2 linked regions of the Neodiprion lecontei genome follow. The protein of the gene in region 1 interacts with the protein of each later gene in a pairwise test. Links are inferred from orthologs where the notes say so. Each region holds a gene or a part of one and is shown on either strand. Other genes may lie near its edges.

Region 1 (8,017 bases):
ACCCTTGACGAAAGACATCCTAAAAATAAGAATTCAAGTTGAGATTGTGAGCTCGACTGGAATTATTGAAAGTGGGGTTTTCTCTGCTACTAATAAAGACAAAATAGGTAGAACAGGTCTTCTCGGCCCACCTAATAGTGCACATTTTGGTCAACTCGTAGACGGCCTCAAATCCGTGATTAACGCTTTGCGAGAGTAGCTGCGCGAACTCCTGATTGTTGAATATCTTCAACGAGCATCCTGGTGGTATTTTGCATACGGTGCTGGGATGAAATCCGTGATGGTGATTACAATTCCTGGACTGTACAAAAATGGCCGAATCGGATAGACACTCGGCGTACACCTCACCGCCTACGTAGTAGAGGTGAACCCCCTTTCCTATGTGCCTCCTGGTGTTCTCTATGGTCGAATTTCTGTTTACATTCGACAACTGCCCAAGGCAAAACCGATCCGAATTGTTACTGGGATTGGTGAATCCGTCGACGATAACGGAGTGCGACTGGCAGTGGAAGACCTCCCCGACTCTGCAGTTCAGCTCGTAGTAGGCTATCGATGCCCAATAGGGTGGCTCCTGGTACGAAACGGGTGCTACCTCGGCGGAGCCACCCGTATCCATCGCCGTGGCGTCAGGAGGCGGCGACTGTCCGTGTTGCGAGCCGTCTTCCGGAGGGGAATAAGCCGGCGGTGGTGTTTCCGGCAGGCCGTTACTACCGTAAGGGCTCTGCGGGTTCGGCGATGTCGTGCTGCCCGGACTGGGCACCGAGCCGACGGAGGAGAGCGGGGACGTCGGGTTCACGCCGACGCCTGTCCCCGAGTTGAAGCCGCTCGACGAGTAGGAGACGTTGTGCGGCATTGTCGGCTCCGGAAGCTGCTGGAAGGGAAGGAGCGAGTGGCCCGGGGCAAACTCGGAGTGTCGGGGGACCAGAACGGGCGGGAGAACCGGACTCTCGACGCGTTTGTAGTGGTACGGGTTGATGCAGACCTCCTTCTGCTTCGCCGAGAAGGGGTACTGGCAGAGCTCGAGGGGCTTGAGCTCGTGGTGCGACTGAAGATCCGGCCACCGCCACACGCGACAGTAGATTACGTGCGGCAGACCCTTCCGGTGCGAGACTTGGAGCCGACCGTCCAGGCTCCGAGGTATCGTCACACACTTGCTCGGCGTCCCAGGGCAGCTCAGAGCTCGCTCGAGTTCCTCGATCGCGCCCTTTCGTTTCTTCAGTTTTTTCACAAGCGAGTCGACCGCCTTCTCGGCCCACTTTTCCTCCTCGTCGCCCTGCTTCCATCCCAGCAGTTTCTTTACCGCCGGACTCGTGAACGAGAACAAACTGTTCAGGGACGACATCGGACCCGAACTCGACGAACCCTCCTCGTCGTCCATCGCGATTTATTACTGGCTCAGAATATTTTCAAAACGGTCGTCGATTCCGGGGTTTGAATCCTGTTCGCGAGTATTAAGACCTCGTCCGTCTCCACCTTCCACCTGAAAACGAAACGGAATTTTTATTTTTTTTTTGTTCAATTCGATTGCTGGTGCATTGTTCGTTGGTATAAAAATTCTTTAGAGAAATTAACAGAATTTTTTCATCTTTCCTCCATAATCCGCCACGATACCAGTTTTAGAGATATCGAAGTTGGACATAAATCACCGCGGTTAGATTTTATATGTTTAGTTTAAGCGTCACGAAACAAATAAATTTTGTTTACATCAGTCACATATTCGGTTGAAAGATAATTTCTTAACTCTAATATGTGTTCATCTATAATCATCGTCTGTTCATAAAATACTACAATTCAATTCATTGGTTGACACGATCTTGCAAAAATATTTGAACTACGGAAAAACAATAGCCAGCTGATGGGGATTGCAGGGTTCAAATTAGTTACGGGTCAGTCAGGTGGAAGAAGGGTCGTCGAGCGTTCTCAGGTAATGAAACCCTGCGGAACAGGTTGAACGAATGCCTGAATTTCAAAGTTTCTGCGAACACTCGATACCTCGATGGTTATTCATTGTGTCTCCAGCGCATTATGTTGGCAAGCCGTTAATTAAGATTCTCGTAACTCCGAAGACCTGGCAATTTTTTCAAATATCTACCGTTCGATTCGTTCACAGATGATAGTAATAATAATAATAATAATAATAGTCTATGAGTGCTCTATTGTCTCATATTATATGAGTGTTTTTTGGTGACGCAGTTGAGTAAACATCTGCAGGCGATCGTGATTAATCATTTGGCTAACCGTCAGCATTTCTTTTACAAATAAATACATATATTCATATAAATATATTTGCGTGATATGTGTAATATTTACATTGCAAACCGAACACCCGAAAAAGATCGTAGAATGTGCAGTACATATTTACCAAAAGTTGTCCGCAATTTAGTGGCGATCCGTAGAATTGAAGAAACTGGTTTTGAAGGATTTGAAATAAAAATTTTACAACGGATTTTTAACGTGATTATATACCCAAAGAGAAAAGTAGCCTATAATTAAACAATTATATAGTCGGCGGTAAGAATAATAGATTTTTTTCTTTCCCCGACGCGGTGATAAACTTTTGATCCACCTGTGATCTATTTTTATTCTTTACACCAAATTAGAATTATATACATTATATGTTTTACACGTTCCAATTGAAGTACGTAATTTCGTGGAGGTTCAAAGTATGGATCTTACGCTCTGCGCGCCGTTTGCGTACTCCGCGTAGCACCGCGCGGTCTGCAGAATCCACTATATTTTATACGCAGAATTTAATGAAACAGGGTTTAATGCAAAGCGTTGGATAGATACGCGTGCGCCTTTCCGCGCGTGTTCGTGTTACGTGTAATATGCGTAAGAGGAACTTATGTACGTACATACGTACATGAATAGAGTAACTGACGTGGCGCGGTAGTAAAAAAAACGGCGCGAAATTACACGCGCAGTGTGTTAGAGGAGCGTATAATAAGAGAGTAGAGTAGAGTATAAGGTTGGCGGGCAAGGGGCGGGCGTAGCAACGTGCTCGTTCACCCTTCCTATCAGTTGCCGTTTTTCCGCTTACAGTGAGTCATTGCACTTGCCGAGCACTTCAACGAAATCAAATGACGATGATAAATGGGCAATAATAAGAATATATTGATAAAACATAATACGAGAAAAGAAAAAGAAATTAACAAACGCATGCGTATATGTACAAACGTATAAATACATGTACACGTACGTCATTCATTACGTTCGGTCATTCAGAGTTTCGGCCGTGCCGTTACGTAGAACACGACTGTTCACCTTCGACGCATCATATTGCTTTGCAACTTTCCAACAAATTGTACTGAAATGAAAAATTTTCGCAAAACTGCGCCAGACGACTCACGCCTGCAAGAATTTTTTCTCTCTCACCCACCTGGTATTATTATTACACGCGGACAGGATGTTGCGACTATAATAATTCGACCGATCGTTCGAAATATAGAGCAAAAGAAATCCCAAACTCTGTATATCTACGAACGGCGATTCGTCAATGGATACCTGTAGGAATTTCGATACAGAGCGCGTCGCACGGTTGCAAATGCAATCTTCTTTGAATGAAACAAAAAAATAAATAAAAAAAAACCAAAACAAAAACGCGAAAGTGATAGAAACGACTCGCTTGTCGCCCCCGTAACTTTACGCCATAGAGCTATGGGGTCTGAACCCTATTGCGTGTAATACAACGCGGCTTAAATGAGACTTGAAAACGAACTCCCGCTGCTTTCGTATACGAATTAACACGTGTTCGTCGATCAGTTTTTCCTTCCTTCCTTCTCCATTGCTGCACCACCACGGTACATATATGTATATGCATACGTGTGTAAGTGTATATGCATATATATATATTTTATATATATATAATCACTACCCGGGGCAAGTGGCAGAGCAGAGCAGAGCGGCACTACAGTTCCGAGAATATTTCTTTCAATCGAATTTCTTTATTTATTCTATTATTATTGCGATCGCCGCCCTACCCTCACCCCTCTTTGATCCGTCGCGCGAGTCTCTTTTTCTCTTTCTCTCCCTCTCTCGCTGTTCTGTAAATTATACATACTTATACATGTAATGTACATATAATAGTGGCAGACTGTTGCGAACGATAAAGAAATTTAATTTTACGTATTATAAAAAAACCAATTACACGGATGTTGTGTACGTTTGATAAATCGCGGTAACGAGTTGTTCGCGTGTATACTTCGGTACGTGTGTGAAAATTGAAAAGTAAACAATAAAATTATCGAATCACAGAAAAAGAAACTGTTTCTTAATTGGTTAATCAATTAATTATTCCATACCTAATCTGTACCGCGTGCAGGGTGAAATCGTGGGTCAAGACGGTCAGATCTCGGAGGTAAAAGATTTGGTCAGCGAGAATAAATAAACATGAAAAAGCGTAAGACACAAATTGAAAAAACAAGTGACAGGCTTTAAAATTCATATTGGAATTATCCGATTCGAGGGACGTGGATATTTGTTCTTAGCATTCGGAAATCGGTAATTAGTTTCGAGATGTATACCAATGTAATTTGCATCGTTTCATTGTTCGGATACATATTATATACGTTGCAGGGTGAAAGTGATAGCACTTAGAAACTTGTTGGGACGAAAAATTGAAATAAATTTACACTTCGACGGAGAAAGAAAGAAAAAAAAGATAAAAAAAACAACAACAACAACGACAACCCTGTGGAATATTCTACGTAAGAGAATGAATGTATGAATGAATCGAGTTGTGTGGCAATTCGTGACATGTAACATTTACTCACGTTCTCTCCGCGAATGCGAGTTGCTGGTTTTTCTCCTTCGACGATTAAGTTGGCGAAAGGACGGGGTTCCGAGAAGCACCTCGAGTAAAGATACGTCACTGTCAATTGCAACGAGTCAGAGTGCGTGCGGCGAGCGTTTGTTGTTTGTTGGCGGTTACTCGTAGCGTAAATCTCCCAACGTTCTCCTCAGGATCCGACGATCCCCTGCTTTAAGGGCGATTGAAAATAAAAAGAAGAAGAATGTAAGAAGAAGCGAATAGTGAGAAAAATTGCAAAAGTAAACGCAAAGTTAAGTAAGTTGCGGCGAAGGTAAAGTAATATTGAAATGAGAAGAATCAAACAAAAAAATAGAAAAAAGAAGGATGCGAAACAAAACAACGCCGGGGAATAAAATCACTCACTTCGTGTATATGCGTGTATTTCGTAACGAGGATCGACGCAGGCTCGATAATCCCCCGGAATCGATCTAAACTCTCGTGCGGATCGAGCGAGGCAGGTAGGCGATACGATGCGCCTCGGCTATCGGCGGAATTCGCTCCCCGTCCGTCAGACTGGCCGATATTGTGTGAAATCAGTCGCCGCTGCCCCACGCCAATGTGGGCATGCATGCAGTGGACGGCGCTAGGCTCTCTCGGTCGAAGGAACGAACCGACTACTCCTCGCGAGGCTAGCAGGCTCGCGAGGGGCACAAGCACAAGATTAACCCGCGGTATCGAGCAAGACGACGGTCGTAATTGCTGGCCGAGTTCGGCGAGACTGGTGCGCGCTGTGGAGTACTGGCCGACACGCACGATTAAACACCCGCGTTGCTGAAACGGAAGTTCGGGAAACGATTCACATTTTTGAGCACGTTATTTGTCACTAATGTTTACACACCACCGTCCATGATGTCGCATAGCATTATGGCGGCCGTGTTTACGGGCGACGCGCGTCACTGCCTCGACTGCCTGCTGATGCTGCCGCCGCCGCTGCTCGAAGGCTCAAACAGGCAGAGCCATAGCCAGAGCTACCGGCGCCCCCGGTGACCGAGAACAGAGGCGATCCCAACCACTAACCCAACGGTCGACGACACGCGCGCACCGCCGACGCACGTCACTCGACAATCGCGTGTGCGCCGCGCTCGCACCAATTCTCATTACAACGCGATCGAATCCCCCCTTTTCACATCTCATTCGGCTCTTCTCTGGCTAATCGAATATCCGCACGGGTTGCGCTTGCTTCAGACCCTCCCCGCAAACCGCATTCAGCTACTGCAGCTACTGCAGCAGCTGCAGCAGCTAGTCGTTCGCGGATCTCGACGATGTCTGGCGACTCCGTTGTGAAACGGGAAACTGATTGACTGGTTCGATTGATTTATGTAGGCATTCTCTGGGTGTTCAACGTCGCTGATAATTACGAGGTTGACGAAAAAACTTAGACTGTTATCCCAGGGGCATATTTTCGTGACCATTGATCGGCAGGTAAGTGGGCCTGAGGCGTTGAGAAGCCGTGTTTAAAACGATACGGTAGCTTCTTTATCGGCGGGAGGCGTTCAACACGCAATCCCATCATCGCACGAATACCCCATTAGGGTAACCGTCTTTGATAGCCTTCGGTCAAGGACTGATATTTTGAGTCGAAGAGGAAATTGCCATGCTCGCAAAACGTTTCCGCACGTTTTAGGCATGCAAGAAACCACTGTTTTATCTCGGTCGGGCTGACCTTGTTTTGTAAATTCATCGACGGCGTTTCAGGATGATTCCAATTGGTAGGGCATGTATGTAAAGATGATGATAAGGTATTCAGGGCCTTATCGCTCGCCTTGCTGCACTAACGGAGTCCCCCGAAACTCCGAAATGGGACGTCATACCGTAAGATCAACTCTGCAAAGAGAACGCAATTTCTGCATTTATTTTTGGCAATTGCATGCTATTTTTGCCTATGCTATATTTTGACAACACAATGCAACGCATTTACAAGATCAGAGGCATAATAAGAACAAATATGTGTATACAATATTTTAATTATCAATAGATATAGATAATGTTGTTATATATGCATGTAGTATGTTTACATTATGTATTTATATTTATTATCTTTATTGGAATAAATAATAAGCGGTTGTACTTTACTTTTCAGCACAATTCAAGATAAAGTATCGCAATCAATATTTGCCTAAAAAAAAAAAAAAAAAAAAATGGCTACGTACGACGATGAATATGATGGCTTTTCCTGTTGAAGTTTCATGTTAAAATTTGGAAAGATCACCTGGTATTTACACCTGATTCCTCGATTATCTTGAAACACGACACTTTTTGTCTCCCCTCGCAACATGTATTCAGGTGATGGAGGAATCGGATGTTAATGCCAAATGTAGCGTATGCGTTACAGAACTTGCCTTCATGGGCTAGTAAATTAAAATTTTTTTGTCTTATTTTTATTATTAGATACGTTATGAACTATTTCATAGTATATTTTCCGTTTTTCACATAATTAGTATTTATTTATTTTTTCCTTTTCTCTTTCCTGTAATATCCTTACTCATCATTTGGTTAGTCGTCACCCGATAGATTGCTTGTATGCATACCCATCAACATATAAAAAGTCTACCACTTGCGAGTTTACGTGGAGAAGACGAAAAATTATGCAACGAGGTTGAAAAGAATAATAAAATAAATACAGGAATACTTGAAAGAGATAAGTAAAATTACAATTTATAGACAGCATGGTACCATCTTGGGGTACATAATTTATACACGGAAATATGTAAACTTTGGAACGAATTTAGCAATATAGTAAATAAAACTATTCGTAGTAAAGTACAATGCGACAATATTTATTATTCCTTTTAGCTCAATTATTTACCGATACAAAAAACTTGCCCAATTTCAGACATTGGGAAATTCGTAATTCGTATTTGCAGATTTTTCTGAAAAATCGAGAAAAGGTATTTGACCGATTTGACTAGCAAATCGCATCACAATACAATATAATAGACAAAACAGCAAAGGCAAGCACTCGCTGGAGTCGAAAACCTCATTCACCCAATTGTATGTAGAATACGATAAAAATTGTAAAATTAACGTATCATTAACTAAATGTAAAGCCGTCTTCATCGTAATGAAGGAACACAGCGATGATAGAATGTTATATTGTATTACGTTGTTATCTTCTAAGGCGGGTACAGCTGGTAAATTCTTATAGATATTGTTGGCTGTTCCATTCCCCTGTCTTTTTCAATGTATTGCTACAAGTCCGGATTCAAG
Region 2 (3,539 bases), on another chromosome or scaffold:
ACCAGGGCAGCCCCTTAATGTTCCTATAGAACTTAATTTAACTTACAGTGGAAGCATGCGAAGAGCGACTGGAAGTTTGAAAAACTAAGACAGATATGGCTGATGGACCATTTGCTCGATCACAATTCAGTGCCAGACTCGATATTTCCTATAGCTTTGGAATATTTTGAAGGTTGCAAAGGAATGGCAAGGCAACAGCTAGTTAAAAAAATGATGCAAGTAGTAAAGAAAGTCGAGGAACAGGTGGCCAGCAATAAAGATGAAACTGAGGCTACAGCCACTTCGGAATACCTGAGAGCTAGACAAATCCTTCAAGCACTCCCCACAGAGGCTTGAAAGATGATACAAGATTTTTACTTTTTATTGAAACTTTTAGGCCTATGGGGGCTCTTATACTATTTGGTAAATTTTTTTTATACCAGATATTGATAGCAGTGACGTAATTTTTTTGACTACCTAATTTCACACATATTTATTTTTATCGGTAATGAGTGAGTGAATGTGAGTGAAAATCTAGTTGCGATAGTTTATTCTTTTTTCCTTTTCTTTTAATAACGTAACATATAATGTTGATGTGTATAATCATTAAATAAATTCATATACATTGTTTACAATAGCTAATTACATTTAGTCATATGAAAAGCCAGAGCATTTTTAAGGACTACGGTTTAAAAGAATTTACGCATTTATTAATGATGATTATTTTGCATCAGCATACTTATTGACGAACTGTCGTAGTTTATCCGTATCTTGAAGTCCAACTATTCTCTCCAGAACCTTACCATCCTTCATAGCAATGAGGACCGGGACGGATTCAACCTATTTTTTTTTTGAGCGGGTGATAGCAAAACGTATGAGTATAATTCATCGCTTCAAACTAGTGTAAATAAATACATTGAGGTAAAAACTTGACCAAACCTCGTAGTCCAAGGCAAGATCGGTGTTTTCGTCAATATCAACTTTGGCCAGTACAATTTTTCCTTGCTTTTCGGCAATTACAGATTCTAATCTGGGTGTCAGCATTCGGCACGGATTACACCATCTGTTCAAAAACAAATTGAAATAAGTGAGTTGATATGAAGTGCATTTTGGTTTGCAACTGTTGCACTCTCAGAGGTTTCTTCTTAACCAAAAACTTAAGCTCCATACAATTTTAAAATCAACTGCATATATGATGTGGCAATAATTATATCCAACATAACACGATTAGGTGATGTTGGAATTATTCTCAGAGTATCACAAGGAAATTTTGATTGCGCTACGAATCAACAAATTGAATTTGACATGTAATCAGGAAATAATTCTTTAGACAGCAGTTAATTTGAGTTTCCTAGATCACGAGTTTTAGATTCTTAGTCGAATTCCCTGATTTCTAGACTCTCAAGGTTTAAACGACCTTGATTTTTAATGCTTCCATAACCTAAAACCCAGGGAAGACATGAGACTGTCCTGAGGGACTTACGTCGCGAAGAAGTCGATGATCACCGGGATTTTCGAGTTCTTAACGCGGTCGTTGAAATCCTTTGGATCTTGAACAGTGAAAGCAGCCTGAACGGCGGGTTCTTGAGCCGGAGCATTTGCAAAGCCTCGTTTGACAGCGTTACACAAGATCCTGGTTCCACCGCGTAGCATGTTTTAGCCTAGAAATAAAATATGATGTGACGATCAACTTAGTATGCGATTAATTGATAATGGCAGGTGATCGCTGCCAAGTATTCTATCGAGTAATTTGAAATGTATCGGTATTTGTCTACGAGACGCATCAAATCACCTGAGTTCTTGATTGAATCTGAACGATGAATAATGCGATTTGCGGGTTGGATCCCTGACACTGCTACCAACATTTCGCCATCGTGAAAATAAAGTAATTTCTTACGTAACCATTTTTGAAGTTTGGAGGAAATTCTACTGTTAATTTAAAAAAAAAAGAAGCTTTAGATTAAACAAATAATCGAGAAGTACGCCGTCCTGGAATAAATATTTTCCTTAATTTGTTCATTAATATTTAGGTATATCTATAGAATTTTGTTACTTGAACATTTGTTTTTATTTTAATTGTATATCTATAAGTTATATTCTTATTGAAATTTGATTATGTAAGCACGTGGAATAGTTCGAGATTTTTTATCATCCAACGAGCGGCAGGGTGGCGGGAAGACGGGTGAGGCCGCAACCGTCCGCTTGCTAACTTGGGGTTCCGAATATTCTTATAAATCACATACTAAATACGAAACACGGACTTCGAAATTTTCTTTTCCATTCCATTTTCATTCTTGATAATACCGGAATTATTTCTCTGGAAATTACTGAAATCTTAGCTTATATATATATATATATATATACACACGCACACACACACACACATATATACCTATATATAGCTGGTCTTGTAATCTCTAATAAATAAAATAATCTACTTTAATCGAGTCTTCGGATTTGCAGGAATTTGGAGAAGCAAGGAATTGAAAAAAGTAAAAATAATTTGACTGAGCAATAATAATTATAATTCATAATAGGAACAAAAAACTTTGTTTGCCTCGTTACTGGTAGGAATATTAAACATTAGTCAGTAATCGTCTTTGTATTCGGTTGTGCTTAATCCAACACTGCTTAAGTCCTATCCATAATTCTCTAAAGCCACCTTTAGTCCCTCCTCGTTTCTTGCTGTAAATATTCAAGTAGATTCCAAGAACGACGATCAGGCCAGACCACACATATTGGAAGGTGAATGGTTTGTAAAAGAACATAAAGCTAATCAAAATCGATATCGCTTTTCTGCATGTCGTAACAGTTGCTGCAACGAATGCTCCGCAGCATTGGACCAGAGTCAAAACAATCTGTATACCCAAGTAACCGGACAGTGAAAAGAGCAGGCCAAGTCCATACGTTTCAATAGGATGCTGAAACAAGTAATAATATATATAAAAATGAACCAAAAAGAGTAACAACATCCACAACAATCTTTAAATTGGGTTGAATGTTTTTTTACCTCGGCACAGAAAGAAGCACCCGTCTGTAGGTCGGATATTGTCAACAGTATCAGGAATAAGTAGACGAATCCAATGCTGTATGAGAATAGGACAACCTCAGTGTTCGACGCCTTGTGCTCGCGCATGGCCTTCTCCTGAATGTTTCCTATAGCCGCATCACATAACAGGGCGCAACTGATCATCATGATGCCGACTGGATCGAATCGAGGGGAAATTATACTGTCGGCAACTGTGAAGAGCGCTAAGCCTATGCACATCAGAATTGCAGCGAGAAAATCCAAGGGGCCGTATTTTTTGCCCTGTATCAAGATACTGCCTATTAGGACTGGGACTAGCTTGCAGCATTTGAATATCACCTAAAGGACATAATTCACAAACGTTTTATAAAGTTAATTGTTATTTGCTTTGCAATCACAAAATTGTTAGATGATTATTTCTCTCAAAAAATAGTCAAATATGCCAATATTCGATAAAACATTTGATACAATATTTCACTGAAAAAAGAGTTACTATTATCATAAATTCTTTCAGCAGTTGAGTTCAACTTGA

Evidence for each region.
Region 2: the proteins of protein mothers against dpp (region 1) and thioredoxin, mitochondrial interact in a two-hybrid assay, tested with the Drosophila melanogaster proteins (2 studies listed by BioGRID). The link is inferred for Neodiprion lecontei from reciprocal best matches to the Drosophila melanogaster genes Mad and CG8993.

Annotation. Positions count from the first base shown.
Region 1 is NC_060262.1:38,138,918-38,146,934, forward strand, and holds the start of protein mothers against dpp, read right to left. Parts: upstream 6,044-8,017; 5' UTR 5,174-6,043; intron 4,980-5,173; exon of another isoform or gene 4,977-4,979; 5' UTR 4,773-4,976; intron 1,481-4,772; 5' UTR 1,379-1,480; coding exon 132-1,378; intron 20-131; coding exon 1-19. Other genes in the region: stress-induced-phosphoprotein 1, read right to left, coding at 7,988-8,017.
Region 2 is NC_060264.1:29,028,015-29,031,553, forward strand, and holds thioredoxin, mitochondrial, read right to left. Parts: upstream 1,901-3,539; 5' UTR 1,772-1,900; intron 1,641-1,771; 5' UTR 1,633-1,640; coding exon 1,463-1,632; intron 1,043-1,462; coding exon 919-1,042; intron 820-918; coding exon 700-819; 3' UTR 515-699; downstream 1-514. Other genes in the region: uncharacterized protein C7orf50 homolog, read left to right, coding at 49-336; adenosine 3'-phospho 5'-phosphosulfate transporter 2, read right to left, coding at 2,556-2,900, 2,990-3,346.